Linked DNA regions of Stegostoma tigrinum. The protein of the gene in region 2 interacts with the protein of the main gene of each other region in a biochemical or structural test. Links are inferred from orthologs where the notes say so. Each region holds a gene or a part of one and is shown on either strand. Other genes may lie near its edges.

Evidence for each region. The genes of interacting proteins can lie anywhere in the genome.
Region 1: the proteins of crebbpb (region 2) and KH domain-containing, RNA-binding, signal transduction-associated protein 1-like form a complex in vitro, tested with the Homo sapiens proteins (2 studies listed by BioGRID, with this or other methods). The link is inferred for Stegostoma tigrinum from reciprocal best matches to the Homo sapiens genes CREBBP and KHDRBS1.

What each region holds. Positions count from the first base shown.
Region 1 is NC_081377.1:841,978-845,729, reverse strand, and holds the start of KH domain-containing, RNA-binding, signal transduction-associated protein 1-like, read right to left. Parts: upstream 2,581-3,752; 5' UTR 2,537-2,580; coding exon 2,446-2,536; intron 1-2,445. UniProt on the Homo sapiens protein: Recruited and tyrosine phosphorylated by several receptor systems, for example the T-cell, leptin and insulin receptors. Once phosphorylated, functions as an adapter protein in signal transduction cascades by binding to SH2 and SH3 domain-containing proteins.
Region 2 is NC_081376.1:32,962,745-32,966,496, reverse strand, and holds the start of crebbpb (CREB binding protein b), read left to right. Parts: upstream 1-856; 5' UTR 857-1,603; coding exon 1,604-1,688; intron 1,689-3,752. UniProt on the Homo sapiens protein: Acetylates histones, giving a specific tag for transcriptional activation. Mediates acetylation of histone H3 at 'Lys-18' and 'Lys-27' (H3K18ac and H3K27ac, respectively).

The sequences.
Region 1 (3,752 bases), on a different chromosome or scaffold from region 2:
GTCAACAGAAACCTCATACAATTAAAATTCATTTAAAAAAAAACAAACAATTTTAGATTATATGAAATACACTGGGGAGGCAGTGACCTAGAGGTATTATCGCTAGACTGTTAATCCAGAGACCTAGATTACGTTCTGGGGATCCAGATTCAAATCCTGCCACGGCAGATTGTGGAATTTGAATTCAATAAATGTCTGGAATTACAGAATCCATTGTCAATTGTCATAAAAACCCATTTGGTTCACTAATGCCCTTACGGGAAACAAAGTGCCATTCTTACCTGGTCTGGACTACGTGACTCCAGAACCACAGCAATGTGGCCAACTCTGAACCGCCCGCTGGGCATTGAGGGATGGGCAATAAATACACCCGAGCCTTCAATGCCCTCATCCCATAATTTATGGTATACCTTTGGACTTAGTTCGTTTGTTAAGATAGAATATACCACAAATAACCGCAGTAAGTGTCATATAACTCAAAACATTGACTCCGTTTTCTCTCCACAAATGCTGTCAGACATGCTGTGTTTTGCCAGCAATGTATTTTTGTTTGTTTCAAACCTCAAAGCATTACAGCACTGGTTAAGAAGTAGTCATCTATACCACAATCATGAGTTTTATATTCTCAAACGATAATGTCCCAAGTCCACACGACATGTCTAGACTGCAAGACACAGCATTTACCCAACCATGTCAGCCCTGGCTCTATGAATGAGAATTGCACTGTGCCATCTCCTTGCAACCCTGCTCACTGCTTCAAGAAACAGGAAATGACATCACCAACACAGGAAATGACATCACCAACCCAAGGAAACCTAAACAGATAAATAGAAAGCAGGACGTAACACAGCGTTTCGGAGGCTCACTGATGATGGTACCTAGAATGGTGACGAAACGTCTGAAAACCACCCTTCCAGCTCAGCGAGCAAACCCACATCCAGAACCTCAACCTGAGCTACAAATCTTCTCAAAACTCACTGTTTCAAATAAATAACTCACATTTAAATGCCTCAATTGAACGTGCCTACAACACAGGCAGAGTATTCCATATCCAAAACATTTTCTACTTGGAAAGGTTTTTCTCGTTGCTTTTCAAAAGAAAATGTAAATCTATGCCTTCTCAGTCTTGATCCTATGCCGAACATGATGACAAATAAAACTAATCCCTTCTGCCTGCCCTTGTTGCATATCCCTCCATTCGTCACATGGTCATACACCTACCTAGAAGTCTCCTAAATGGCCTCAACATGTCTGCCTTCAACACCACTCCAGGCAGTGCATTCGAGACTGCTACCACTGTGTAAAAAAAAACTGCCCCTCACATGTCCTTTGAACATTCCCCCGTACCCTTAAATACAGGCCTCTAGCATTAGACATTGTAACTCTGGAAAACACGATTCTGAACATCAACCTTATCCACGAAATCAATTTTACAGACTTCTATCAAGTATCCCCTCAGCCTCTGCTGCTCCAGAGAAAACCACCCGAATTTTTCTACTTTTTCCTTACAGCTCATATCCTCCAATCCAGGTAACATCCCTGTAAACCTCTGCTGCACCCTCTGCAAAGCCATCACATCCTTGCCATAATGTGGCGATCAGAACTGAACACAATGCTCTTAAGCATGTCAATGATTTGGAGGGGTCCAACAGATGTTCTCTCAATCTTCTTTCCTTTACGATAAACAGCCTTAATTTCTTCAATACATTTACACGCAGAAAGTCCTGTTGTTTGAGACCATTCTCATTACTCTTTTCTGCACCCTTGGCAGTACCTTTGCATGCCTTCTAAAGTGCAGAACTAGACAATTCTCCAGCCAGGAAGACAAACATGTGCCCCATGCTGGTTCAACATCTACTTCTTGCTCCTCAACTATATGCCCCTGCAAAAAAAACCTAGGATACCATTATGACTTATTAGCCAAGCTCTCAACTTGTCTGCAACATTTAAGGTCCTCTGCAAGTATACACGCAGGTCTCTCTGCTCCTGAAACACCGTAAGGTGACTGCCCTTCATTTTACAGTGCACTCCATGGCCTTCCAACAAAAACTCTTCGCATTTCTCCTCACTGAACCACTTGTCTACATCCTTTAGAAGTTCTACATCACGTTCCCCAAATTACACTGCTTTAAAATTTCTTTTCGCCTGCAGATTCTGTCATTTGCACCAATGTCTACATCATTAATTAGTAATCTAGAAAAGCAAGAATAGTCCGGAGATTGAGGATCGGGAACTAGCAGTAGGGATTGGGGGGGGGGACGACGACGAACAGCACGAATCGGGGTGATTTCGGGATCGGTTTCGAACCCCCACCCCTCCCCCACGCTCCGCCCTTTGTTCTCCACGGGGCCGAGGCGACGAAGTACAGGCCCGGAGGCCATCGCAGACCTGAACCTAAAGCTCCAAATCCCGCCCACACAGCACTGGCAGAGCCCTACTCTTTACCTGCAGCCAGTAACCTGCTTGCATGGACGAAGGACGGGTCCAGACTGTCCTTCTCCGCCATAAGTTCGGGCAGATATTTCTCATTCGCCATGGCCGTTCACTCCGCTTCCTCGCACACCGACAATGCGCCTGCGCAGCAACTGCCGACTGCCTGATGGTGAGTCCCACCCCTGAGCTCCCATTGGCCACATAGCTGTCCATCGGAGGCATTCTCCATACCTACGCGCTTAGGTAACTGTCAATCATATATTATCCCACCCATATCGATGACACCGTCTCCCGCTCTTATTTCCCGCTAGCTCGATGGCTGGCTGACCTGCCAATCATAGAGCTTCCCCGCCAACTGGTATCAACAGGAATGCCAAACAACCTACTGGAGGCCACCCTGTTCCGCCCCCCTCTCCGACCGTTGTAGGGGGGAGAGTAGGTTCAGAAAACGGGGGGAATAGAAGGAGAGGGTTGGGCGAGGATACAGTGGAGGATACAGACGGACCAGCTGGAGGATAGAGATCTCAGTGGGGGAACCAAGACGCGGGATCATGGAGTAGATAGACCACGTAGGGGCACACGTGAAAGGGCGGCTGGTGTGAAGGACAGAGATCATCCGGGAGGTGGGTGGTGGAGGACAGGTACCATGGGAGTCATGATTGTGGAGGAGGATGACCATGTTGGCGGCGGCGGCCGGGGGAGGGTCTGCTGCGATGGTGAGGGTCGTGGAAGGAAGGGGACCCTGGACAGGTGTCAAGGAGGAGGAGAGGCGTGTGGAAAAGAGGGACCGTACACAGGGGGTGGGAAATGGAGAGGGGAGAGAGCACAGAAAGTTTGGGAGAGGAGAGAGACCATTGGGAGAATGTGGAGAAGACGGGTCGGGGGGGGGGGGGGGGGGCGGCGTGCGCAAGGAGTAGTGAGACTGCCTGGGGTGGGTGTGGAGGAGAGGGTGTGCACCCGAGAGGTGAGCGTGGAGAAGAGGGGAACAGAGGACAGCGAGTGCAGGGATGGGAGGATGTGCAGAAGAGAGAGAGAGAGAGAGATCATGGTGGAAAAATAGATTAGGGTGGAGAGAAATACGGGGGTGAGGAGAGAAGAAGGATGGGCTTTGGGGGATGGGAAGATTGAGAGAGAATGGGGGGGGGGGGGGGGAGAGAAACCAGGATGAGAAAAAGGACAAAACTGAGGAAGTTTGAAGGACAGCGAGATGGAAAGATAGAAAGAGAGGGAGAGGCAGAGAGATGGAGAGAAATTTTAGGAAAATGAGTGAACTGGTGGAAGAGAGTGAGGGAGCGAGAGCCAGGGATAAGATAATTCCA
Region 2 (3,752 bases):
TTGCCACCTCTTACCTCCTTTAAGATACTTAAAATTTGCTTATTTGACCTCGCTTTTGGTCATCTAATATTTGTCTTGGGTAAGTGTTATGTTGTTTGATAATGCTTCTGTGAAGGGCATTGAAACATTCTTCAATGTTGAAGATTCCATAAAAATCAAAGTTTTAAAATAACTATTCCGTCAAATAATAGTCAATGTCTAAGAAAAAAAATACAATGTTTCATCTTCGACTCCAGACCATCCAACACTCGAGGGAGACCGACTCGTTGCTTCGTTTGGAGATGAATGTACGTTTCAATCCACAGCAGTCATAAGATGTCTAAGCCCTTTATACAATCTCAGCTTGTGCTACCGAAAGGGTATCATTTGAAAATTGAGGCGCGACTTTGATTATTTGTACTTCCTGCCCACTTAATTTAGGAAACTATTTTTGTAAATAGATATTTTGAGAAGTCCTAAGGCTATCACATTTTACAATTGCCAACAGGAAGCGATATTAGTATTTCGAATGGCGTTAAACGTGTTAATGTAATTTGGTTCCGTAAATGTCGTGAAATTGTATTACACGTTTAATAATATAGTTATTAACACGTAAATATTACAACTCATTCACAGCTGTAAGCTCCGTGCGCATGTCCATTTGATAGTAACCCCACAATGCATCAGGAGCTCTGATGACGTAATGTACGTTCGGCCGCTTGCTCCCTCATTTCTTACGGAGACGGCCAATCCGCAGGCGGCGGACGGATCACGCGGAGTCATCATCCTCCACCCGAAGCAGGGTTCGGGTATTTCCGACCAGCTACTAAGGTGCTTTCGGCAGTTTTCGTATACTTGGCTCCGCCTCCCTCATCCTTCCTCCCCTCCCCTTCCCCCTCCATCGGTGGACGGAACGTCAGGAGGAAAAAAAACTTTAAGATCAACAGCCGCCATTTTGGTGGAAAATTTCATCCGAAATTTCGGAGGAATTGAACGGCGTCGGGAGCTGTGCTCGCTGTCTTGAGTATTCCTCAAAACCCATATTCGGTTGCGAAATCCACATAGCCGTCAAATTATTGCGAGTCCGGGCGCCTTCAAACGGTGGAAAAGCGATAAGAGAAAGGGGACCGGCTGAAGGGGAGGGGGGAGGTGGTGTTTAAAAATCCGTATCCCCTTCGCTCCGCCGTACCAAGTCTTTGGGTGAAGTATTGTTTTCATCGGCTCAGCCGGCAGCGGTCTGGCGTCAGTCCCCGGCCTGGTCCCGGTCCTGGCCCTGGCGCTATACCGAAAATGCGGCCTGACTGATCGGCTCGATTTTATGTTTTTTCCAACTGCATATTAAAGTGAAGATAGGGGTTGGACAGCTTTTTTGTTCCCTGTGTGAGGGGGGGAGTGGAATGGCGGAACAGGGTGTCGCGTTAGGGGAATGGCGCTGTGGCTGAGGAGGAGCGGGCTCTCGGTGCTAGTCAAAGGCCCCAGGGCCTGCCAGAGTCGCTGCTGTGTCCGTCTTTATCCCGCCCCCTCACCCCCCTCACCTTTCATGTTCATTAGATGAAACTAGCTTGAAAAGGGAGGGGGGAACGATTTATACGCATACACACGTATAAAATATATATATAATAAAATGGCCGAGAACCTACTGGATGGACCGCCGTCAGCCAAACGGCCCAAACTCAACTCGCCGGCGCTCTCTGCCAGTGACAGTACAGGTAAGGAAGGGACATCGCCTCGGACAACCGCGGAGTATAAGTAGTTGCATAGCTGCCCAACACTCCTCTTTGTGGATGGTAAATAGGAATGGAGTGCGTATGTTTTGAAATTGAGGATTTTGGCAGAAACTTAAAACCGTGTTTCTTTTGGTGGGGAAGGTTATTGATAGGTTTTGTTCCTTCCTTCACTCCAGCTCCCGATCCCGCAAAAGTAAAACTAGCAGTGTTTACGATCGTTTATTTGGGAAGGTTTGAGCCAGAATGGCTCAGTAAGGTGTTGAAGATCATTAGATGTTCTGAGATATTGTATATTTAGAGACAAGTAAGAAGGAATTATATTTGAGAGGATATTGATTGGTGTAAATCTTCAGCATTGGTTACGAAACTCATTTCGCACTTTTTATGTTCGATCGTTGATAGATTTGCACCATAATTTTCGCGTGAGCAAATACCAATAAAATTAGACCTTGGTTTCGGTGTGATGAAATAAAGTTTGTCTCGCACATTTGTTTAAAGTGTTATAACATTTGAGAAATTAGACTAGTGGTGAATTTCGCTGGTAGAAAGCATTTCGTTTAAACTAATGGAATACGTAATAAAGTAGAATAATATTTATCAAACGTCTGCTGATTAAATATTTTTTAGTCTTTCAACTGACTTGTGACAGGTGAAATCGTAATTTGTTAACTTCACGTAAAAATGTATAACATGTAAGATTGCAGCATTTGTTGGAAAATATGCATCTGATACTGTGTGTAAACCGTGCATGTGTCGCAAGTAGCAGACGTCCGTATTTTGGGCATTATTTTGTAAATAGAAACTTGTAGCGGTGAATTGCGTTAAGGCCACTATAGTTGGCGGAAGCCCAGGGATTTATAACACCTCCCTGTTACTGTCCCGTGGATCCTGGTGAGCCAAGTGATCAATGTTATTGTCAAAATCTTAATAATATTTGCAGCTTACCGTCAGGTATGCCAACATTTAACGGGAGAGATGCAACTAAAATGCAGTTGCCTGTGCAATTTACGTATTTTTCGTTTTGCGATAATTTAATGAGTATCCCAACTGACACTAGACTATATTGGAAGGCAATAATAATTATCGACAGTTGAGTTTATGGGTGAGATTTTTAAACTAGTATATTATACTATTAATTCTGCAGTAGTGGTGTTTGATGTTTGCAGTGAACAAATAAAAATAAAATGAAGTGTTTACTTTGGTAGACTATTTACCCCATTGGGCCATTAAAATATGTGAACAAATGAATATTTTAAGCTCTACTTTCATCTTTTGGCAATTAATTGTTGTCGGATGCTACACCTGTGCACATGTACAATCACTGGGTGGTGGATACTTTGGCGCATTCTGTCCTTGAAGCTTGAACTGCAGCATATGATGTTTTAAATTATGCAGCATCACATTGAAGAAACATAGGTCATTTGTATGTTCACAGACAGTTGTGCAAGTTGTAGAGTATCATCACTAAGGTTTGTGAGACCAAGATTTAAGTAATCATATTATTTCCTGACCTTTTTACCTTTGGAACTACCCCCACTGCTGTTGTATAAAGTCTCTTTTCACAATGTGCAGGCCTGTGTTTTGGCTTCTAAGACTGTTACAAGTCATTGTAAATGTTTTTATTGGAAACATGTTTGAAACACATTACACACTTCAGAAATGCTTACCATTATAACAAATAAGGATACTTGTATATGTATGAGGGTTTAATAAGTTGCACTGGTGATTTGCTAAACAGATTATTCTTCTTAAAATAGCATCAGGCACTGGTCAAATTTAGTATATTCCCTACAAAAGGTTTTGGCTTGTTAATCAGTATTTACTATGATGCCAATATTTAAAATGCAATTGTTGGCATAAATGATCTCAAACTTCTGCAATTGTATGAGAAACAATCAATTTTTTTTATTAAAAGTGGCTATTTTCCGAACTCCTTTTAAAATTAGAAACTAATAGACGTAGCTAATTGCCACACAAATCTTGATATATTTGGAAGTTTGTTAATAAAGATTAAGTTGTTAGAGTTGGTTAACTGTTAAAAACTTA